Linked DNA regions of Danio rerio. The protein of the gene in region 6 purifies or fractionates together with the protein of the main gene of each other region. This does not show direct contact. Links are inferred from orthologs where the notes say so. Each region holds a gene or a part of one and is shown on either strand. Other genes may lie near its edges. The genes, in order: nusap1, nup50, rcc1, rangap1b, larp7 and kpnb1.

Evidence for each region.
Region 1: the proteins of kpnb1 (region 6) and nusap1 purify together in Homo sapiens (affinity purification with mass spectrometry; 3 studies listed by BioGRID and IntAct, counting the BioPlex papers as one, with this or other methods). This does not show direct contact. The link is inferred for Danio rerio from reciprocal best matches to the Homo sapiens genes KPNB1 and NUSAP1.
Region 2: the proteins of kpnb1 (region 6) and nup50 purify together in Homo sapiens (affinity purification with mass spectrometry; 4 studies listed by BioGRID and IntAct, counting the BioPlex papers as one, with this or other methods). This does not show direct contact. The link is inferred for Danio rerio from reciprocal best matches to the Homo sapiens genes KPNB1 and NUP50.
Region 3: the proteins of kpnb1 (region 6) and rcc1 purify together in Homo sapiens (affinity purification with mass spectrometry; 3 studies listed by BioGRID and IntAct, counting the BioPlex papers as one, with this or other methods). This does not show direct contact. The link is inferred for Danio rerio from reciprocal best matches to the Homo sapiens genes KPNB1 and RCC1.
Region 4: the proteins of kpnb1 (region 6) and rangap1b purify together in Homo sapiens (affinity purification with mass spectrometry; 3 studies listed by BioGRID and IntAct, with this or other methods). This does not show direct contact. The link is inferred for Danio rerio from reciprocal best matches to the Homo sapiens genes KPNB1 and RANGAP1.
Region 5: the proteins of kpnb1 (region 6) and larp7 purify together in Homo sapiens (affinity purification with mass spectrometry; 3 studies listed by BioGRID and IntAct, with this or other methods). This does not show direct contact. The link is inferred for Danio rerio from reciprocal best matches to the Homo sapiens genes KPNB1 and LARP7.

The regions. Positions count from the first base shown.
Region 1 is NC_133188.1:36,694,674-36,698,799, forward strand, and holds the start of nusap1 (nucleolar and spindle-associated protein 1), read right to left. Parts: upstream 2,801-4,126; 5' UTR 2,681-2,800; coding exon 2,606-2,680; intron 2,387-2,605; coding exon 2,327-2,386; intron 2,244-2,326; coding exon 2,103-2,243; intron 2,012-2,102; coding exon 1,828-2,011; intron 1,702-1,827; coding exon 1,624-1,701; intron 1,469-1,623; coding exon 1,356-1,468; intron 269-1,355; coding exon 221-268; intron 1-220. Other genes in the region: oip5 (protein Mis18-beta), read left to right, coding at 3,048-3,279. UniProt on the Homo sapiens protein: Microtubule-associated protein with the capacity to bundle and stabilize microtubules. May associate with chromosomes and promote the organization of mitotic spindle microtubules around them.
Region 2 is NC_133179.1:71,993,290-71,996,789, reverse strand, and holds part of nup50 (nuclear pore complex protein Nup50), read right to left. Parts: intron 1,824-3,500; 5' UTR 1,780-1,823; coding exon 1,711-1,779; intron 240-1,710; coding exon 159-239; intron 73-158; coding exon 1-72. UniProt on the Homo sapiens protein: Component of the nuclear pore complex that has a direct role in nuclear protein import. Actively displaces NLSs from importin-alpha, and facilitates disassembly of the importin-alpha:beta-cargo complex and importin recycling.
Region 3 is NC_133191.1:37,422,222-37,426,390, forward strand, and holds the start of rcc1 (regulator of chromosome condensation), read right to left. Parts: upstream 2,801-4,169; 5' UTR 2,714-2,800; intron 1,904-2,713; 5' UTR 1,873-1,903; coding exon 1,800-1,872; intron 411-1,799; coding exon 223-410; intron 113-222; coding exon 1-112. UniProt on the Homo sapiens protein: Guanine-nucleotide releasing factor that promotes the exchange of Ran-bound GDP by GTP, and thereby plays an important role in RAN-mediated functions in nuclear import and mitosis.
Region 4 is NC_133187.1:20,673,220-20,677,366, forward strand, and holds the start of rangap1b (ran GTPase-activating protein 1b), read right to left. Parts: upstream 2,801-4,147; 5' UTR 2,742-2,800; exon of another isoform or gene 2,689-2,741; intron 2,226-2,688; 5' UTR 2,206-2,225; coding exon 2,094-2,205; intron 1,995-2,093; coding exon 1,867-1,994; intron 1,313-1,866; coding exon 1,253-1,312; intron 619-1,252; coding exon 439-618; intron 245-438; coding exon 110-244; intron 1-109. Other genes in the region: plbd1b (phospholipase B-like 1), read left to right, coding at 3,478-3,547, 4,066-4,147. UniProt on the Homo sapiens protein: GTPase activator for RAN. Converts cytoplasmic GTP-bound RAN to GDP-bound RAN, which is essential for RAN-mediated nuclear import and export. Mediates dissociation of cargo from nuclear export complexes containing XPO1, RAN and RANBP2 after nuclear export.
Region 5 is NC_133182.1:62,353,776-62,357,275, forward strand, and holds part of larp7 (la-related protein 7), read right to left. Parts: intron 2,194-3,500; coding exon 2,046-2,193; intron 1-2,045. UniProt on the Homo sapiens protein: RNA-binding protein that specifically binds distinct small nuclear RNA (snRNAs) and regulates their processing and function.
Region 6 is NC_133194.1:51,598,584-51,602,517, forward strand, and holds the start of kpnb1 (importin subunit beta-1), read left to right. Parts: upstream 1-1,134; 5' UTR 1,135-1,286; coding exon 1,287-1,326; intron 1,327-1,954; coding exon 1,955-2,013; intron 2,014-2,229; coding exon 2,230-2,412; intron 2,413-3,934.

The DNA.
Region 1 (4,126 bases), on a different chromosome or scaffold from region 6:
ACTTTCAGAAAGAAAAACCTTGCTGAATTTAAACAATTCAACGTTCAAAAACATAACTTTTTTTTCAAACATATTTGAAGATACCCTCCCCACAGTTTTAGAAAGATGACACTATGCCATTTTTAACACAACATTTCACAAGAACTGATCAGGGTACATGGCAATTCAAACAGAATCATAAAAGATTGATCAATTGATATCTGAACCTATAGTGACTTACAGTTTGAGCCTTTGCCTCGGGTTTCTTCAGTGTCTTTTCTGACAGGGTCTGAAATGATAAAAGTAAATAATAGTAAGTGTAAACTAAACTTCAGATACCTGAAGAAAATGTTCAATCTATTTCTGTTTTAACTACATTATAGATCTTTGAAATATTTTGTGCAACCTTTTTAAAAAATATATATATATATTAATTTAAGTTATTTTTATATTACTAAATATATGTTAAAAGTGATAGCTCCTTAATGATTTATATAATGGCAGTCAATGGTTACTGTTTTTTTTTTAATTAAAAATATACTTGCATTCAACACACTCGTGCATAGACCAAGAATTGTTTGCCCAGGCTGTGAATTAAAGCTAATAGTATTTTAAATAATGTTACATTTCCTACACAGACTGATCGGTTCTTTTTACAACACATCAGTGTGCCACCAGGATATTTTTGTATGCATTTGTTTTTATCTGAAGCAGTGGTCCCCAAACTGAGGTGCGTGCACCAAGGGGTGTGCAGTCTGACCACCAGGGGTGCGCTAGAGAATGTTTGTAATGGAAATTTTTTTATCTTTTATTATTTTTATGCATTTATCTTTGGTAAACTTCACATGTCATATTACAAATATTACAACGAAAAAAAAAATCACATAACAAATTGTTATTTACAACCTATGCATGACGCTGTGAAAATTGTCAAATTCATAAAAGCTCATCCTTTAAATTTACGTATTTTATTTTAATAACGTACACAGAAAAATAAGTATTTAGTTATTGTAGTTAAAAACATGGAGTTTAATCGGAGAAAGGAGTGCTTAACAGGTCTCAAATATTAAAAAGGGGTGCACACAGCAAAAAGTTTGGGAACTACTGTTCTAAAATAACAAGAACCATTGACTGCCATTTATACGAATCACCAAGGAACTATCCTTTTTATTTTGTAGTGTATTTTGACCTTTTTATTTTGTTTTGTAGTATCCTTTTTTACTTACATATTTTGAAGTGATATAAAATACTAATTATAATATTAATATTAACAATGATGACAACAATAAAATTAAAAATATTGTTAAAGTTGATTTCCAAGACAACATTTCTAATTTTTATTTAGGTTAAAGTTTCTAATGTTATTTCTCTGTTACCTTCAGCTCTTTAACTGAATTCCTGAGCACTTCCATTTGTTTGTTCTTTCTTTGGACGTACGAATCGATGGACTCCATCTTTTTGAAGTGAGCCTCGTGGAGTTTCTTGAAGTCTGGGGAACAGTAATTGAAAATGCATTATTAAAGAGAAGAGCTTAAAATTAATAAGAGATGAAACGATCAATTAAAGACACTGTTTTTTTTTATTATTAGAGAATGTAAAATATATATTTTGTTGTCCTGTATAAAACTGAATATATTATATTACTAGGAGTTGTCGGCCGCATTGCAGGTTTTCTCTTCATCAGACCTTTATGGCGGGGAATTTTACCAACTGTTCTTCTCCCTGCATCACCAATATTGTAATTCATATTACTAGTCATCACTACATACACTGTACAAGCACAAGTGATTCAGTGAGTTAAAAAAATCACTCCTAATAATGAGCACAATTCATTAAAACAATCATTACCTTTCACACCCGTTTCTGTTGGACCACTTTCAGAATCTGGATTTAGATCTCCAGATTCTTTCTCCATAGTATTCTCTTTAGCGAAAGCTTCAGCTGGAACTGGAGTCTGTGTATCCTTGGCTGAAGACACCTTTCTTCTCTTGGAGCCCCTTCGACCCTCATCTTGTGGTGTTTTTTCTTCAGTCTAAAGAATATGCATTAAAAACAAAAATACATATTTCACTCCAATACATACAAATGAAAGATAAAGTAGTCAGTAAATGTGATTTGTGTACCGGAGAAATGATCGGTGTTGGTTCACTGAGCTTCCTCTTGGCGGTGCGGCCCTTTCCTCTGCGCTCGGTCACATATGTTGCAGCGTGCGCGTCCACAGGAGGAACAGAATCGTGCGCGTCCGAAGCGGCAGCGTCATTGCCCTGCAAACAACGGCCACGGCGTTTAAGCTAATAGTCAGATTTAAAATTTCTTATAGTTGTTAAATCCCAAAGACATTACTCACGTTCTCAGAAAGCTGCTGTTGTGAAAAGTGTTCTTTTAAAGCCTTCAACAGCCTTTCAGCCTATCAAATCAAAGTGCTGAATAAGTTAAAACAGCAATGCGTAAAGTTACTGAACAAGATAAGGTAACGTTAAGTTTAAATGTAGCAACATGCTATAATACTTTAATGTCTATAAACTAAATGTGGTGGGTTTAAAACCATGCTGGATTTACATCACATGTCTGGTTGCATGTAAACAGTAACGAACTGCACCACTTTATCTTATACAACAAAACTTACCTTCATATTCGCTTTAAGTCCCACTTCTTTGGCGAGGCGCTGCAATTCCGCATATTTTAGCGAGTCTAAATCCATGTTATTGCCTATAAAATCGACGTAAGTTGAAGAGGCACAAGTATAATACAGTAATCGACTGCTCTCTGATGTCGGATCGGTTAGTTTGGGTTTGTGATTGTCGTTTGAAAAAATACCGTGTTTCAAAAACAGATTTCATGGAGATGATTGGTTAAAGAGTGTATGACGTCGTTGTATTATATCCAATAAGAAATAGATTTATCATCTGGTTGACGTTGATTGGCTTAAAGTCAACGGCTAAGGCGGGTTTTGATTGAGCAGTTTAGAGCGCCACCTTACGTTCAAAACAATAAACGAAGCGTCTTTTGAACTTGTGTGTGAGCTGTCCACAGCAACATCCACAGTAGAAACAAATCTCTATGCGATAATGGCGAACAGCACTCGGAGTTTACTCGAAAGCTCTTATGATATCGGTCCATGTGACTCGACACAGTCAAGTTCAATTGTAGAACAGCTTCAAGCGGTGAAGGATAAAGAAATCTGCATGGTAGACTTTAGGAATTGCATCGTTTTCCAATGCATAACATGCAACACTGTGCTTGGAGACTCTCTCGGCGTCTGCGGGGAAGTGGAGAGCAGCCAAAGTGTCATTTGTTTGAGTAAGTTATATTTTACCTCATTTTAAACTCGAAACTTACCTCATTACGTCTTAAAAGGTTTTGTGAAATACACTAAACACGCGGGGGGCGATGTGCTGCCTGTTATGACCAAGTTACTGCAGAGACATTTTTGTTTAAAGGGATAGGTCACCCCAAAAATGCAAACTCCGTCATTTATTTACTCATCTTTTGTTAGTTTCAAACCTTTATGAGTTTCTTTCTTCTGTTAAGCACAAAAGAAGATATTTTAAAGCTGTAACGTTAACCATTGACTTCCATAGTATTTTATTCCTACAATGGAAGTCAATTGTTACAAATATTTCTTCACATTATCTTCTTTTGACTTCAACTTATCTCTTGTGTGCTGTTGTTAGGGATGTTTTCATCCACTCAAATGTGACATTTGATGTGTAATTTGGCCACCACCTGTGTTTTTAGAAAATGAAATGACTTTTGGTGACATCTTATTTTGACAATTTTTGGGGGGAAAATGTGTCAAACTCAACAATACACTCTGGGCAAATGCATTACCCTTTTGTTATGTTAAGGGCTCTTTTTGCCCATTGGCTTACATTATAACATTTTTGCTTTGATCGCAAAACCATGATACCATAATATTATGTATTCTTGATTGTTGTTTTTTTTTTTCCCCTGTTAGGAATAGGTTACATTATATTTATTTTTCTGTTGATCATTAGTTACAGTGGAAAAAAGGCTTATTTTTTGACTCTTATATAAAGTATAGTGTGTGTATAAGATACCTTTGCACTTACCTTTATATTTCTAAGAAAATCAAATTAAGCACCTCAGCACTTAAAACAGCAAGTATATTTATGCACGCACAGTA
Region 2 (3,500 bases), on a different chromosome or scaffold from region 6:
GAACGAAGCCGTCGCTGTGGCTGGAGCCAGAGAAAACCCCTTAAACGCTTTGAAAGCCCCTCCACTCTCTCCCTGCGACAAAACAGCAGTATTGATGTGAACTATAATCGCTTTAAATAAACAACTGGGCGCCTGCTGGGATGCAGGAAGGGTTTTACCTCTGCAACGTTACGCCGCTTGGCTTTCTTGATGGCGCGGTTTTTCATCACATCATCACTCGCAATCGAAAACGTTCCTGCCTGAAGAGACAATAATTACCCCTGGTTAAAATTGGCAAGAAGCACAGCATGATTTGTAAATACGGAGCACAAATATCTACACAAAAAATTATATTTAAACTTAAAGCGCTTGAGAGAATAGGCTAATATGTTTAATTATGTTTAAATCTTTGCACAAAATCTAATTAATAAAATTCTTCACACTGCCTCAAAACTTTAGTCCATCATTAGCTATGTTTCGATCCGAAAATGCTAATTAAATTTATGCGCAAAACTGGATTATAGACGCGCGAATAAAGCAGCGTTTCCATCCAACGAGTCAAAGCGAACAAAATCGTCACTTTCTGATTAACTGGCGCCAAATATCAACAGTAAAGACGTCAATTGCTGCGTTTGGAGAGGCTGCGTCAATCTTTTCTTCATTTAATAAATGACTTCTGACCTCAGAAGACGATGCTGACATGCAGTGAAGTGAAGGTGGCGTTTGAAGGTGTCAGACGTGGAGCACAGACGTTCTTGATTCTGGATGTCATTAATAATATAACACTAATACTGAAACGGTAAGGTGTTTTAGGCCCCGTTTACACTAGTGCGTTTTAGTTTTAAAATGGCGTTTTAGATCAAAAACGATCCGCGTCCACACTAGCATCTCTGAACATTTCTCCGTCCACACTACGCCACCAAAAACGTATATCACGTGACCATTCGCGCACTCTGGTCATGCCCGTTGTAGTATAAACAGGAAGCATGTGTCTCGCTCGGCATTTGGTTATTGTTAGTCAACAAACGCCGATTGAACATTAAACGCGATGGCAAAGAAAGCAAGAGGTATTTTTGTGGACAGACGACGAGGTCGAATGTTTAAATTAGGTTTATTTTACATGGATATCTATCTAAACACGTTAAAAAACAAAAAGAGTACGACATGTCTTACAAACGAGTAACGTTGTGTGTACATGTACGGATCAAAGGAAACATATTCCCAGCTTTTATAAACTTGTTTTGCCTTTAGAATAAGTTTTAAAATCACTTTGAAAAAAAAAAAAAAAGTCATAACAAATTTTATTAGTAACTGCAGCTTTTACGCTTGCTAGATGAGTCCTCTTTAGGCTAGATCATCTCATTTCAAAGCGCTCGGTTCGGCCTGCGTGGACTTCGAAGGACTCGCCTTTGAAGTCTGCAGCGTCTGAAATGAGACGCAGCTATTATGTTCTGACGAATGTTAGGAAAAAACATCCATAGTATGAACCAAACCAAATACGACGGACATCAATGGCTGTTTTCCAGCCGTCTTCAAAGTATCTTGTTTTGTGTTCAACAGAGGACAGAAACTCAAACAGGTTGAAACAAACAAACGGCGAGTAAATGTTTATGTTTAGGTGGACTGTAACTTTAAGTGTTGTTTTAGACGCATAGTTTGGTTAAGAGTGTTTCCACTTGGAAAGTAATGATGTTTGACAATGAACTAGTGCAGTGCTGGAAAGTGGCGCACCTCTTCTCCATCATCCTCCTGATCCCAGTTCCTGTCGGTCAACTCTTTTTCCGCAATCCGCTTGGCCATCACAGCTCAACTGTTAAACACAATCATGACAGTCATTTAGTCAACTAATATAAAGGGATAGTTCACTTAAAAACGAATATATGAAGAGTTCAGAAACGTCAGAAATTTCCATCCAAAATGATTGAGGTAAAGTTTAAAACTCGTACATTCGTTCGTCTTCAAGACACGACTAAAAACTCAACTATTTAGTCTCCACTTTCCTTCCTAATCTGCAATTCCCTCTCTGGCTCCACCGCTAACTGTATTACATAAAAAAAATTTACTAATGTTTTTGCGTCTTAGACTTTACACACCTGAAACTTGCCTACAGCACTTATTCATTGTTGCTCTTAGTTGTGTAAATTGCTTCCTTGTCCTCATTTGTAAGTCGCTTTGGATAAAAGCGTCTGCTAAATGACTAAATGTAAACGCACCCCACATGTTTTGGCACTGTGGTTATGTTAAAAAGCTTTGCTATGATGCTTCGGTTTTTATCAGGTACGCTTTAATTTTAATTTTGAAAACGTAAGTTTTGGATATTTTAATTACGATAACTTGACTAATGAAGTTTGTGTTATTAACCTATTTATTTTGTTAACTCAGTTTCATATTCAAAAGTGTTAATTTTCCAACAAAAACCCGGATTAATTGTGCTTTATAAGGAACTGAAAAATTACTTTTGCACTATTCAGCATAGTGCTAATAGAAACGCTTTAAAATCGTCCAACCGTGCTCTAGTTTCAAAACTTTTCATTAATGTAAAGGTCCTGCTTGTTTGTAATTATGAGAACTACAAAATGTTGGTGTTTTTTATTTTATTTTGTATATTTAAATTTTTTTATTAGCATCTACATAACTATGTTTGATTGATTGTATAATTTTTGTATTGTTTTTTTAGGTTGTTCAGGGAAAACAGAGGAAAAATAGCCTTCTGGCTAATTCTGGTACATTTGCAGTAATTCTAATAATGTACAAATAAATAAAAAACTTTTTTTTTTTGTTAATTAATAACACTCTTGTTTTATTTATTTACTTTTTTGTGCTGTTGTTATTTTCTTTCTATCACCTTGGCATTACTTTGTTCACTATATTGTCATGTATCTGTTGTTTAAAGTTGTCAAAAATTGTAATTGAGCTAAGCCTTCAACAAGAAACATAATGAAACTTTCTCTTCCGATTTCACATGAAAGCAAACGAACACATTTGGAATATGAACAAATTGAGAAAAGCAACAGTAGGCTTTAAAAATGTTGAGTAAACACTTTTTCCAGGGTGAACAACTCGTCACGTGATAAGTTATCCGGCTAAATAAACGGTTAGTTCAAGTCTACAGGTTGGTTACTGAGGTAAATTTGGTTTTATATTCGCACCTTCGTTCATTTAACTGTCTCTATATAGGGTTTACCACGCTATTTTGAATATTCAATCAGAATTAGCATGCGAGTATGACTTTAAAACAACACCAACACAATATAATTTGATAGTCATTGGCTGCTAATTTGATTTCCTAATTTAGAATTGAGGTAAAGTTAGTTTATATTTGGATATTCAGACAGTAATGATATCCTTTTAGAAAAGTATATTTTGCTAATTCTGAATTAGGAAATCATTAGCAGCCAATGACTATCAAAGCACAGCCATGTTTACAGTCAACTAGATAGTGATGGTGTTGTTTTGAAGTCATACTAGCATGCTAATTCTGACTGAATATATTAAAAATAGCGTGGTAAACAATATAGAGA
Region 3 (4,169 bases), on a different chromosome or scaffold from region 6:
AGACCTGAATGATCTTCTCTCCAAGATCCACCTTTGCTGGCACCGTCTCTGAACCCTCCTCAGATGTGTCCCGGCCCAGCGCACCCTCATCATTACAGCCAAATGTATAAACCTACAAGTCGACATTAAAAACAACAAAAAAAACTTTAGTCCTGACCTCAAATCCCCACTAACATGACTATTCAAGCCTGTTATGATTAATGTTATTTGTGTAGAGCTTACGTTTCCCGTGTCACTGAGGCAGACTGTGTGCATTCCTCCAGCTACTGCCTGCACAATACCCTCAGGAAGAGTCACTAGAGCTGGTTTCTTCCTCTCCATCACATCCTCTCCCAGGCCAAGCTGACCAACATCACCCTGACCCAGAACAAGCACCAGGCCCTTCTCCTGGCCATGACTGATATGAGAGACTACAAATCAACAAAAATAGAAACATTCAGAGGCATGTGGCACAAAATGAGTGGCTCCAGAGATAAAATAAATCCATTAATCTAAACCCATAACTAGAATTTGTTAAGCAAATCAATATACATTCACTGGCCACTTTTATAGGTACACCATACTAGTACCGGGTTCGACCCTTTTGCCTTCAGAACAGCCTTAATCCTTCGCAGCATAGATTCAACAAGGTACTGGAAATATTCCTCAAAGATTTTGGTCCATATTGACATGATAGCATCACAGTTGCTGCAGATTTGTCATCTACACTTCCATGATGCAAATCTCCCGTTCACCACATCTCAAAGACGCTCTATTGCAGGGATCACCAAACTTGTACCTGGAGGTTCGGTGTCCTGCAGATTTTAGCTCTAACCCTAATCAAACACACCCGAACAAGCTAATCAAGGTCTTGGGTATACTTGAAACACCCAAGCAGGTGTGTTTAGGCAAGTTGGAGCTAAACTCTGCAGGGCACCGGACTTCCAGGAACGAGATTGGTGACCCCTGCTCTATTGGATTGAGAACTGGTGACTGCGGAGGCCATTTAAGAACAGTGAACTGATGGTCATGTTCAAGAAACCAGTTTGAGATGATTTGCTTTATGACAGTGCGTTATCATGCTGGAAGTAGCCAACAGAAGATGGGTACACTGTGGTCATAAAGAGATGGACATGGTCAGACACGATGCTCAGATAGGCTTTGGCTTTGACTTGATGCTCAATAGATACTAATGGGCCCAAAGTGTGCCAAGATAATATCCCCCACACAATTACACCATCAGCCTGAACCATTGATACAAGGCAGGATGGATCCATGCTTTCATGTTGTTGATGGCAAGTTTTGACCCTAGCATAAGAATGTCAGACCAGGAAACATTTTTCCAATCTTCTATTGTTTATTTTGGTGAGCCTATGTGAACTGTAGCCTCAGTTTCCTGTTCTTAGCTGAGAGGTGTGGCACCCGGTGTGGTCTTCTGCTGCTGTTGCCCATTTGCCTCAGACCAGCCTGTCTGGCACCAACAACCATGCCATGCTCAAAGTCACTCAAATCATCTTTCATCTTCATTCTGATGCTCTATTTGAACTGCAGCAGATCGCCATGGCATGCATAGAGTTGCTGCCATGTGATTGGCTGATTAGACATTTGCGTTCATGAGCAGTTGGACCTAATAAAGTGGCTGGTGAGTGTATATCTAGGCCTCTATATTGATATTCACAAAACAGAGTACACAACAGTAACTTCAAATTTGAGGTACATATCATAGTTTGTTTCCTTCTGACAACAAATTTACACCTAATAGCTATATGAATATTCTTATGCTTTAAAGAAACATTAAAAAGTCTTTATGAAATAATGACCTTTTAGCTTTTTCGCAACTGTTGAATCGCTTGGTGCCGCTGTTTGTCTCTTCACAGCTTTTTTTGCAGACATGGTAAGCCCAGATGCTTGACAAAACCTGAAACTATGAATAAAGACAGGTTAACAAACAAGCATCAGAGAAAAAAAAATAGTTTCTTAGACAAGTTATTTAACCAATCTAGCAATCAAGACTGAACTTCAGGCCTACAAAAAAAAAAACATGATAGACTAGAATAGGTCTTAAAAGTAAATTCAATTTATTTTGTTTTTGTTGTTTAATATAATTTTAAAATAGATCTCATATTAAGTAAACAACATATAAATCATTACATTACATTTAGAGCCACTTTGCTGTATATTGACTATGTATAGCATTAATGCACGTGAACGTGTATGGTCTTATACAGGCACACATCTTTTTTTGGCATCATAACAGTTATAAATGTGGTCATTGCAGGCAACTGACGAGTTTTTGACACACAGCCTCTTTTTCTGGCTGTGACTTCACGGTTTGTGACTGACAGCAGCAAATGTTTGATGGCGGTTAATCGGCTAACACGGCATTAGAGGGGGAAAACAGACGAGGCTGTTATTGTTTTAGCTTTAATGCAGGAAACTAATTTAAACATGGCGGAATAAGATCTGAGTTCAAGTTCAACGTCTTAAAGGAACATCCCGCTAAAATTTAAAACAAACGCAGTCTCTAATAGCATTTTGAAGCCATGTTTTATTCTCGTGACCTTTAAGTTAGTTTGATGAAAAGTCATCACAAAAATCATGTTGAGACACTTTAAATGAGGTTAATAGCAATGAATGGGTCAAACAGGCTCAGGCTTGTTCCGCAACACATTTCACAAGCTCTACATACACTACATTTCTCATGCTTTCTGAAGACTAATATTTTTAATCTTACCGTCAACAGGCAGCTGAGATGATGAGCTACACTTGTGTATGAAAATCTCCCAGGTTCAAAGTTTGTGTTCGCTCGAGGAGGTTTGTGAACATCAATAACTCATTGAGTGAATGTAACGCACGCGTGTCTCACTCTTGCACTACTTCGTGTGACCCGGTGGATTCGCGCTAATAAACAGACTCAGAAGCGCCAACTATTGGGAAGGCGGGTAGAAACGTCTGTAAAATAAGAATTAGCTTTATCATGCTAATCGTCATTTTACGTTAGAATACCAAATTTAATGCACGTGTTTATAGTTAAACGTTGTTTTATCCGTTTAAAAGTTTTTAATGATGTTCTTCAACTATTAGTTTTTCTTAACAGCCCGACACAGAAACAGTTCCCTCTGGCAATCCATCCCATCAACACCTTATGACAGTAATTGTGAAAGAAACTTCACTTCTTTTTACACACAAACTTATTTAACAACGTACTTTACACGCCAGTTTGCACATATAATACAAACACGTGTCACTTTGTACATTTGCATTAACTACCTCTATTTTTAAACTAGATTTTTATCAGTTTTTTTGTCCTGTTTATGTAATTCTGTTGCACTATAGAAGCTTGTTGTCACGAAAAAAAACCCCTCCTCAGATACATACCTGGCAATCTCAGACAAAAACTTAAAAAATAAATAAATAAATAAATGAATAAATAAATAAATAAAAGAAAAAGCTGAATCAAAGAAAAACCTTTTTTTTTAAATTACGCGTGATGTTATCTATACAAAAATAATTTAGTTTTATTTGATGGCTGCCTTTTTTCTATATTTTATACACTGTAATAAATGCTGGGTTCCACCACTCCATGTTGTCCCAACACAAATTTATTAGGTTCGCTTAATCTTTTTTTTATACAAGTAGTTTGAACTTAAAACAGTTAAGTTGTACCTTATTGTGTCTTGTTTCAACTCATTTTTGTGGTTAGAACAAACAGCAAAAGTATTTTTTTAAGTGTACAAGACACAAATGAAAAATAAGTAGATTCTGTCATGATTGAAATGAGGATTATTACCCATTTCTGACATTTCCTTAAAACGAAACTGTGAAACCTCATCCTTGTACATTTGTTGCTAATCATCTTTTTTTTTTCTTTCTTGGAAGTTGCAGACACATGAAATGCAGAACAAATGTGGTTAAAAAGTATTTAGACCTTTAATTCCCAGCTGGGATGGTGTAAACTGCTCTTTTACAAAGAGCTTTAACATCCTTTAATAATAAAAAAAAATTATAAATAAATAAAAAAAACATAGAAACCCATAAATTTGTAGCAGTTTTATTGGTTATAATGATAAATAATTATAATGGAAACTATAACAGCCTCTATACCCTGCTGAAAAATCTAGCTGGTTTTAGCTGGTCGACCAGGCTGGTTTTAGAGGGGTTTTGGCCACTTCCAGGCTGGTTTCCAGTCA
Region 4 (4,147 bases), on a different chromosome or scaffold from region 6:
CTAATAAGGTCTTGAAAAATATAAAGTCTTCATTTACATATTTAATGCATCTATGTGCACCCAGATACTTAATCATGATATATATAGATGAATAAGTTATGCCTCAGACCTTAAATGCTTTGGCAAGTGCAGTGGCACCATCATTCTCCAGGCGATTACGTCCAGCTATGAAGACTTTTAACCTCAGTGGGGAGGCAGCAGCACTTGACTGCTTATGGCATTCAGTCAATGCAGAAGCAAGGACCTAAAAAAATAAATAAATAAAAAAAATAAATAAATAAATAAAATACACAGACAAACCTGTGCTGTAAACCTCAAAAAGTATTAACACGTTTATAATCATGTCAGAGAGCAAAAGCCTACTTCACTGACCTAATAACAAGCAGATAAACAGGGTTTTCTTAGGTTGGACCAGAGTTTTTTTAATACTAAACTTACCACCCCTCCTCCACTGCCCATGCCACAGTTATTAAGCCTGAGCTCCTGTAAAGTGTAGCACGCAGAGCTCTTTAGGAGGTTTTCGATTCCTTTCACTCCATCAGGGCCGAAAGCATTGTCGCTCAGGTCCAGCTGAGTCAAGCGAGCCCCTGACGTCATCAAAGCATTGCCCAGTGATTTCTAAAATTGGAGAAAACCGTTGGTTAGAATATCAGCAATTTACTTTTGAATGAAAAATGAAGAATGAATTGTTTTGAATGAAAACAATTTACTTGAAGAATGCATAGAAATTACGGCTGCACAATATTTGAAAAATCTAACATTGCAATATTTTCTTATCTTGCGATATACATTGCGCTAAGAATACAATTTCACCAGATAACTTCATAATATCTTTATTTGGGAAGAATTTATAATGTTAGATCGATTGGGATGATACTGCAGTGGAAAAGCACCTCTATAAAATCTAATAAACAATCTATACATTTTTACAGGTACCCCGACACATTTTCATTGTGGTCTGTGCTATTTACAGTGTATTTCTGTTTTTGCATGTGTTTTGAGTATTTTATGCTTAACAATCCATAAATACAATCAAGAAAGAAAAATACAATTGAAATAAAGTGTTTTATTATTTCCTGAGTCAAACAATATTCAAGTACAGTAACTGAATGATAAAAATAATTCATTAATATAATCAGTTATGGTAAAAAAAAAAGGTACAATTTCTTATACCTGAATGTGATTGTGCATCACATTGTGCAGCCCTAAAAGAAATAAATAAATGTTTTTAACTGGATATACAAAAGCTTACCAGAGCAGGTGGAATTTCAGAGCGAAGGCGGCCTGTAAACATGTCACTCCAATGACATTGCTTTGAGAGAAAAAAAAAAGACAAGTTATAAAAGCAGCAAAGTGAAAGTAAAAACTGTGCAGTGGTATTTAGGTTTAGGATGGTATCAGATTTTCTTGCTGCAATTAAATCCTGAAGGTTTTATCACTGTACATTATACCACAATTGTCACAATATTAACCAAAGTTGCAAAAAGGTTCATGTAACGTAGAAAAACAAACAATTATTGTATTGCTTAATTGTACATATCTGCTGAGAGCAAACAAATGTTTCAAACAAATTTAATTGCACTAATACACTAGGTAACACTTTACACTTTACAATAAAGTCCTAATAGTAATTGTTAATTAATGCATTAAATTTAAAATTAACACTGAGAAAAAGGGCAGTTATAGTAACTATGTTTAAGTTAGTATGTCAAAAATTCAACTGACCAGTATTAGCCATTAACTCCAATCAACATTTTTTATGCATTATAAGACGTTAACTAACATTTTGAAGAGCCCATGATATCAATATTGTGTATGCTCGTTATCTCAGTTTATTGCATATGTCTACTAGTAATTTAAAACTACCTCCAGTTCACGTTTAGCTTCAAGCGACTTCGCAATGGCATCTGCTGCTTCAACACCCAATGTGTTTCCCTCTAACCGGAGAGACTGCAGACCCTGACACCGTTCAATGTCCTCCACAATCTCTTTCACTGTAACAAAAGAAAAGGAGGGAATTCCAAGAGATGTTGCTTATGGATTAAGACATGAAAAATAAACAAATTTGATAATACAGAGAACGTTTTACTCACCTGATTCTGCATTGTCCAGCTTCAGCCCTCGTCCCTTATAACTTAACTCCACTTCTCCAACATGAGTTTTGGCCAGAGCCTCTGTAATCTGAGCAATATCCCCTAAGGCCATTGCTTTCCCCGTTTTCTCTTCTAATAAAGTTAGTAAGACATAAGTGTGTTTCAAAAATGTATCTCGTTAAACCTAAAACATACCTCACAATCATATGAATTTATTTAGGATATATAAAAAGTACATCCTTAATCTTACTTCATTGTTATTAAGACTGTAATATTAATATAGCCACTGCTAGCTTAACGTTATCTCTAAACATGGATATAAATGACAGCCAAAGAAATAACGCTACGTGTTATATTTGAAATGTGCTTGATGAACTTTAAACAGTATTACTAAGCTCAATATAGTCCTCAAACAGCTAGCTAGTATGATAATATCATTGCATCATTGGTACTACGGCTGATACACAAACGGTTTAAGCTAACTCAGAGAGGAGTTAGCTTACTAGCATTAATCTCATTCATGACTTCAAACTAGCTAATTTAGCGCAGGAACTTTGGTTAAATCTAAAAAAGTAAGTGAATGTTTTCTATTTACCTCACACCTCGGCGCGGATTTTAATGGAGGAAGATAGCAGATAACTAACTTACGTTACCAGAATAAAACCATCAAAACAGGAGGCACATGGAGGCGGCAGTCCTTTGAAAGTGCCGGTGTCATGATCTTTCATAATAAAAGCACGATTAATATTTTTGATTGTTATAATAGCACAGCGTTACTGAAAACGTCATTATTTTTCGGTTTAAATTTTTCATTTAAATACTGTTTAAATACTGTTTTTTATTACTGTTTTTTTATTTTTATAATAAATCAATAAAATGTTGCACGTTGAAATAAATTTAACATTAGACAAATGTGTGACTTAAATAAGAATGCTGATTCATGTAAATATATAGCTGAATAACAAATCATTTGTATTTACTAATTATATTTAAAATTTGGTAAAACAAGTTAGATTAAATGTACGACTTGCATTCCGTTTATAAGACCGTTTGTAATACACATTCTACACACTCCATGACGCAAGCCCCAGTGGCCTAATGGATAAGGCACTGGCCTCCTAAGCCAGGGATTGTGGGTTCGAGTCCCATCTGGGGTGGAAATCTTTTAATCACACACAAGGCGATCTGCGACAGAAAACCAGTTAATGTGGACATACAACGTCTTTAAGTTCTAAATTGAATAACCAAATCTTGGTTTTTCGTACTTTAGTCTAGCATTATATTCTGGGATGTTATATTTGCCCAGTGTTTGATTACAGATTACATACCATGATTAACCAGATCCAGAAAGTAAACTTAAGCTTAGTCTAATTCAGCGTGAAACATGTATCGATTTAACGTCACAAGGGTATTTATATTGTGCGTCCTCGCGGCGACATTCGTAATGGCTCAGCGTGAGTATTTTAAATTAATTCCACTCACTTAAAGTCACGTTTTAGTGGTAACATGTCCTTTTGTATGTTTACATAACATTAGAAGGCTAGTATTCCTTAAATTGATTGTTCAGATACAACTGTCATTATTAACTCATCCTCTACCTGTTCCAAACCAGTTTGAACTACCTTTTTTCTGCAAAACACATTTGAAAAAAAGCTGAAAACCAGTAACCGACTCATTTCCTACTATGGATATATGGATACAGGGTTTCAACTTTCTTTAAACGATTTTCTTCTTAAATATCTTGAACTCATAGGGCTTGGAACCACTCGAGGTTGAGTAGGCTACTGTATATAGCGAGTCAATTTTCTCTCTTTTTTGCGTAAAATATCCGTTTAACCAAGTTGAAAACGCTTGGCTAGAACTACAACAAACTTGTTATCATACTTGGCATTTGTTTATCAAACCAAGACAATATAAAACAAGTCAACCTATAATGTTTATTGATATATGTGGTCTTTTTAAATTGTTTAAGATGTTCAGAGAGCCACTGTGTACTGGGATGCTGTTCAGAGGTCTGTGGTCCTGAAAGAGGATGTGATGGAAGAGAATGGAGA
Region 5 (3,500 bases), on a different chromosome or scaffold from region 6:
AACAAATAAAACATCTTGCCAGGGTATGCTGTGTGTAATCCACCACTGACAGTGACATAAGACACCTTATGCAGCACCTTTCAACTGCCGCTTGTGTAAGAGAGCTCAAAGCTGGTATCGATATTTCAAAAAAGCAAGATCATATAGTTATAAATATTCCATAACAATACTTATCAAAATATTTATACGTTTACATGTTGTTTATTGAGATTTTTGAGATGTGCGATTGTATAGGCTGTCTGATCTTTACAGAAGCTGTAAACTGACACGCGTGCTGTGATGTTTAGCTCGGACGAGGCGATTTTATTTAGCCTGTAGTCTTTAGATTTTTTACACAATGTTTAATTTCTTAACATTTCTTTCTTTTTTTATTTATAGTTTATATATAAAATGAGTGCTAGCTTGTTTAGTTGTGATCATTATGCAAGGATCATATTTCATATTCGGTTTATTCTTCAACAGTATATATATTTGTTAATAATGAATTTTTATAAATGGATTGTTCATAAGGACTAAGCTATTAATATATAATGCATTAGGCTAATTAATACATTAAGAAATTGAAGTCAGGTAGGACAACAAAATACAACCAAACATGTTCCCCCTGTTGGCAAATTTAACCAAAAAGTATCTTTGCGTGTGCGCAACAAGCTGCGCATCTGAGAGTGTGTTCAGCACGATGGGGAACATAGTGAGTCCCACAAGACCCCATCTTAAGCCACAGATGGTAAACATATTGGCCAGGATTCCTGGCAAAGAACATGTAAAAATCACTGTTAATAAATGCCAATTTACAGTGTTTTATTTATTTCTTTTCATTAAAAGACTGTGTCGAGCTGTCATTTTTGTAATGTAATTTTGAAAGTTTTTCTTAAATATTTGTTTCTTGTTCATTCGTTTAATCTTATTTTAACTTTGTGCAATTTAATTATTTATCTTTCTATTTTATTATCTTGTTAGTTTTAAAAACATTCTAACATTCATCACATTCGTCCAAAACTGAAAGTATTATACGCACGCATTTATAAGCTATTTAAAAGTAGAAAGAAAAGAGGAAACCCATACCCCACAGTGATACCGGTATTACCGGTGTTGTCACATGTCGATTAACCAGTAGGGAAATTTCCTCATCGTCACAACCCTAATATATATATATATATATATATATATATATATATATATATATATATATATATATATATATAAAATGTAATGGTCATTCTTGACAGTTGTTCTTGGGTCTTTAGAAACCTCTCTCACCCACAAAAGGTTCACTCCCACACCCACCACCGGAATAACCAGCTGTGAATAGTTGTGAATAACCAGCGCCCTTCACCACCCTCAATACCAGAGCTGAGCTGAGTCTCTTGAGCAATGCACGATCCCTCAACTGGTCCCCTGGTGCCGCAGCACCACTGCACCGGGTGTGTGTTCACAGTGTGCATGTTCATTGCTGTGTGTGCGCACTTGGATGGGTTAAATGCATAACACAAATTCCGATTGATCACCATTCTTGGTCATGTCATGACTTTTACTTCACATTTCTGTTTACCTATTAGATAGAACAACAGGGATTTTTTGAAAGGGCATGCAAACATTTGCTGCACATTGTCATCTGAATAAGAAATAAACTTTTACTATAGCACTTTATGCATTGCTTTACAATTCACAGCTATATAGTATTAAACTTTTTTTTTTCGATATTGCTATAAAGAGCTGCAACCTTGATGGACTAAAGAGAGGAAAGAAACCAGATTAGTTTTCCTCAAAAATTACAAAGTCTAAGTGCACAACTACCTAATGCATAATATAATCGGCACAGACAAATGGGAATTGGAAGGGGTTTACCAGCTTATGCCAAACATCTGAAATGTAACATAATTTGGGCTAGATATTTTTCAAAATAAACCAGTTTACAAATTGGTTCAGTTCAAAATTACACTAGTTTATCTAAATGCATATACTCAAACTCATTATGCAAACATTTCACAGAGACAATTTTTAATGAATCTCAATTCTAAAACAATAAACACAGCTTTTCTTACTTTGAGAGGACTCTGAGAGGGATGACTTCCTCCCCTACTTTCAATCTCTCTTTGAGCTTCTTCTTTCTCTTCCTCTTGGCCTTCAAAACAGAATCATCTTTCTTCTTCAAGCTGTTCAACTCTTCATTCTTGTTCTCAGATGATAGATCTATGAAGGAACATGAATAAACATAAGTACATAACCTCAGTGTTTTGTTGTTTTTTTTTTCTAAATGTCATACTAGGAGTGTTAGGGAAAGTTATTTTTGAAAGTAGTGCAGTGTTTCCCCTACCATAATTTTAGGGGGGGCGCCCCACCCTCTCAAGGGCTTTCCCCGGCCCCTTGAAGTCAAGTTGATTGCATTTTATATATAGCACCAGATCACAAGTTCTTTTAATTAACAAGCTAAATAGCCATGTGTAGTATCTTATTTACACAACGGCATGACATTTCTGTCTCTACATGGTCGCATGATTACAAATTTCTGCTCTCTGAATCGCGCATGGTGGAGTTCACACTCTCTGCTGTGTGAGAATGAGTGCATGCCAGATCTGACAGGAACGAAGATGCACGTGCACTCCCGTATATTATGTATAGAATACAGCAGATACAACACAGGTAAATGATGTGCAGGGGCGATCAATGTGTTCGCGTCACAGTGACAGCAGCTAAAAATATATACAGATGCAGTGCGACTTGTTTACAGTTTATTGGTGAGACTCGCGCGCCTAATGCTCAGCTCTCTTTATTGCAAGTGCAGCCATAGCATCCCCACTGTTTTGAGCTGATGTGGCGCAGCCAGTCACCCCTATCTAGCATCTCATCCAACCATATGACCTGTCCCGGAAGCTCCACGAGTCTCCTGTAAATTTATACCAGCCCTGTTATCCCCAAAAATGAGTTAAAATACTCAGAAATCAATCACAGCGACAAGAGTGAATGAGCAAGAGTACAGATCATGAGAGGCAATGTAATAGCATTACAATTCTTCGGTTAAATTAATACAGCAGTAAAGACATCAAAAGTGCAAATCCCCCTATCTCTCTCACCATTGAGTGATCTGCTGTCAATAGTTGGAAACAAGCAAAATACTTGAATGGTCATGCATATGTTTAGGCCTTTTTACATATAACAACTGAAAGTTCGGTTTGACAATACTGCAAATTCACTAAAAGCTGGCTGGGATTATTAGATAAATAAAACTTTATTCTTAACATGAATATTTAATAATATAAATTCTTGTAATACACGCATTGCTATAAACAGTAGTTTATAGACCTCTTTCCTTTTAGTAAAAGGGTATTAGATTTATAGGTGTGCATTTTAACTTCTTATGCATCAAAAGCTGCAAAAATCCTGATCGGACATTTTGCTTGAAGATTTTAAGAAATGTTTGGTTGAGGTTGTCTGCTTATTTGTTTATACTGAACATGAAGCAGTAACTTTAGAATAAGCTGCAATTTTAGCAGATGGTT
Region 6 (3,934 bases):
CGGGGCAGACACACACACACACACACACACACACACACACACACTCACACACACTTCTCTATTCCATCACCCAGCTTGAGGACTGATTGGTTTGGGCTTGAGACGGCCGCTGCCCCGCGCCGCACACATCAGCCGTGTTCAGTCGTCCTCATGTCTCTGTCTGCCAGATTCTCTCAGTATCGGTTGTGTTTAGCGCTGCATTTGACCAATTCCTGATCACATTTATAAATTGATGGCCGCTGCATTGATCGCCGGCGGTGCACAGGCGGCCGCTGGGATATGTGTGCTGATTGGCTGTTGGAGAGCGGGGGGGCGGGTCTGCAGGACGGGGCGGGTTAGCGAGGGTTGCGTAATGTTACAATTCTGTTGTGTATATTAAATCCCAGTTGTTCACGATGACTGCAATATGAATTATGTTAAATAAAATATTGACTTGAATGCCTACAGTGATGGAGGAGTGTCAACTACAGCCTCACACACACACACAAACTGTCTCATACACACACACAAACACAACCTCACACACGCTTTCTCACAGACACACACACACCATCTCACACACTGCCTCTTCTACAGCAATAATAAACTGAGCACACTGAGCAGGAGCGCTGTTGTGTGTGTGTGTGTGTGTGTGTGTGTGTGTGTGCTTCTGCACAGGAAGCTGCTCTAGAACTCTCCTCCGCTCGTGTGTGATCAGTGTTCCTCAGGCTGAAGGGCTCATGATCACGGCTGCAGTACACTATGCTGAAGTACACTGAAGACCTGCTTCCTGTTCCCTGTGTGTGTAGTGTTCTGCAGAGGGATTGGGACAGCTATAACGAGCCCTCAGTGTGTGTCATAATAGTGCACATCTGCAGTTCACTTCATCAAAGTGCTGAGTAATGATGACTTTGCGCCTGAAGGTGCTGTTCCTCTAGTAATCAGTGTGCCGTGGGAATCACACCACACGCTACCCCTGATAACAGTGCGCTCCGTGTCTTCATCATCTGCTCTTTCTGACCCACACTCGGTCTGACGGGCTCTTGTAATGAACGCAGTTCTCCACACTATCGAGACGCTCCCTCAGTAGGCAGCAGAGCGTCATGATGCTGCGCGTGGGCGGGACCTGTGACGTCAGCGCGTGATATCGTTCCGCGGGCGGGAGTTCCGCGCGGCCTTTTCCTCGCGACAGCGGCTGATGAGCAGAAGCGGTAACCGCGAGAACGGCTCGGCGCTTCAGCATTAGGCGTGGACCGACCGACTTTACCGACCGACTGCACTCGTTCTGCCCCCGCGGACCCGACAGGATGGAGCTGATCACGATCCTCGAGAAGACCGTGTCTCCAGGTAAGCAATCCTCACACGCGCCTCTCCCGCGCACGGATGCCGTTTCTCCCGCGTGATGACCGGGGCTGAGCCGCTTCCCCGGGTGTGAGCGACGGTTAGCGGGCGGCTAACGCAGCGCAGGCCCGGTCGCTGAACCGCGAACGCGACGCGTTAATCTCCACCCGTCGAGTGGCGAACAGCAGCCGGACCCTCGGCTCGCCAGAGCAGGAGCGGGTTACCGGCCTGCTCGGTGTGTCCGGTCTCTGCGCGGTAACGAGTGTTAATGATCAGAGTTCACACACCGACACACGGCTCTACTTCATGGTCGCGCACATGTCGCGCCGCCGTGGGGTTTGTCCCGCCCGCGCTTCTGTTGGTAAAGTTGTTAGCAGTTAGCATGCTAGTCAGGAAGTGGCTAGGTGTTAGCATGGCTAGCACTCAGTCATCCTGTGCCGCTGCCTCTGAAAGTTCGCGCGTGTACGGCCGTGTCTAGTTTACACCGACTCTCCTCCCGCTCGGAGCCCGGTAAAGCGCTGTGGCCGAGCGCGATGCGGAGTTTCCCGGTTCTGACGCGCAGCTCCGCGTTTGGCGGGAGAGTTTCACAAGCGATCGATCAGGGAATTGACTGATGATTGTGATTGATTTTCAGATCGGAATGAGCTGGAGGCGGCACAGAAGTTTCTGGAGCAGGCGGCCATCGAGAACCTGGTGATGAAGCACACACACACACACACACACACACATCAACTGTCTCACAGACACACACACACTGTACTACTGTGTTGAATTGATAGTGTGTAAATTGTTTCTGGACCAGGACTCTGTTGTGTGTGTGGATCTCAGTACTGTGCTGAGATCAGCTCCAGCAGACCACTGGTTCTCCTACAGGTGTGTGTGTGTGTAACTCTGTGTTCTGCTTCTCAGCCGACCTTCCTGGTGGAGTTGTCCAAGGTGTTGGCGAACCCGGGGAACACACAGGTGGCTCGCGTCGCCGCCGGCCTGCAGGTCAAGAACTCTTTGACCTCTAAAGACCCGGAAGTGAAGAGTCAGTACCAGCAGAGATGGCTGGCTATCGACACCAGCGCACGCAGGGAGATCAAGAACTACGTAAGGATGCTGTGTGTGTGTGTGTGTGTGTAAGAGAGAGAGAGAGAGATCTTCAGGATGCAGGAAGGTAAAGTGTGTGTTCACAGAGATCAGACACACACTCCTAAATGATGGCGGTATTTGCTCAAACGGGCTGGACCAGCTGTAGAATGTGGATCTGCAGGAGTTTAGTACTTTCACTTACAGTAGTGCAGCGCTCAGCTTCCCCTGATCACTGACGGAGCATGCTGGAGTGTGTGTGTGTGTGATGTTGATGTGAGCGTCAGCATGGGGAACTTGAGTATTCATCTTGAAGTCCTCATGGCGGTCACTCTGCTGTTCTGAGATCAGCCTTTACAGCAGCAGGAGTTCAGTGATGATCAGCTGTGGTGAAAAACTTCGCTCAGTTTCTCCTGAACATCACTGCAGATGATTATAGTTTAATATTCAGGAAACCGCAGCACCTGAACACTACACCTGCAGACAGCCGTGTTCATGATGGAGGCATCGTGTGTGTGTGTGTGTGTGTGTGTGCGCGTGTGTGTGTGCACCGCCACTGCTGTTCTTCTGCTGTGCAGACAGGCCTGTGGAGGTTTAATGGAGCTCTGTGGTAGAGCGGGTAAATTGAGCTCTGGGCTCAGCTGTGCTGTTTAAGGCCCGACTGAAACACCTGCATTATTAAAGGGCCATGAGACCCCCTCGTTTCAGCAGGGTGTTTTCACACCTCTACTCTGGAAAAAGTCAGAAAAGTGGGCGTGTCCAGCTCTGTTTAGGGGGGAGTGTCGGAGGAACTAAAGTGGGAGGGTGTGGGAGTGTCTATTTGGGCACGCGCGAGTTTCAGAGTCAAAACACACACAGTAGAAAGTGATGGTGTTTAACCTACATGCACATCTGTAGTCGAATTATTTGCCAAATGATTAAATGCTGGACTTTAACTGCAGTTTGGCTCTTTCATTCAGGGAATTCATTCATGTCCCTCGCGACAAACGAGATATGTGATTCGAGGAACTGCTCTAAGCGTGTATTTTTCATGTAATGTTTGATCCCGCACGGCGAATGAGAGAAAAAAAACTCAGCATTTCCCGGAAACTTAAATGCACTCGGCAGGTAGTGTCAGAAAGCCGCGTGTGTTATTCCGGTCACTAAATGCGGTCACAAAATCCAACACGAGGGTAAAGTTTGGTTGTGGTGCTAACGTGTTTACACTCGGTGCAATAGTTTGTTAGATATAAACAAAGAGCGCTGGTCGCTCACTTACCAAACCTGTAGAGACAGGACAATCACCAGCAACTAGAGCCGCGTCTTTATTTAGAGGAGACTACAATCCGGATCTCAGCGTTTGCAGATGAGAACAGCTCTCAGGTAAACAATAATCCTCCTTAGACACGTAAGTTATTGTTGTCGAGCGTCGCGTACACTGTTAATCCACACGTGAGTCCAGCTGCGCTCTCACAGAGAGAAAATGAAAACAAAACTTCACTGCAGCAAACTATTAAAGCAACACTTCACGCTTGTTTTGCCAACACAACGTGGCGTCTCTGTC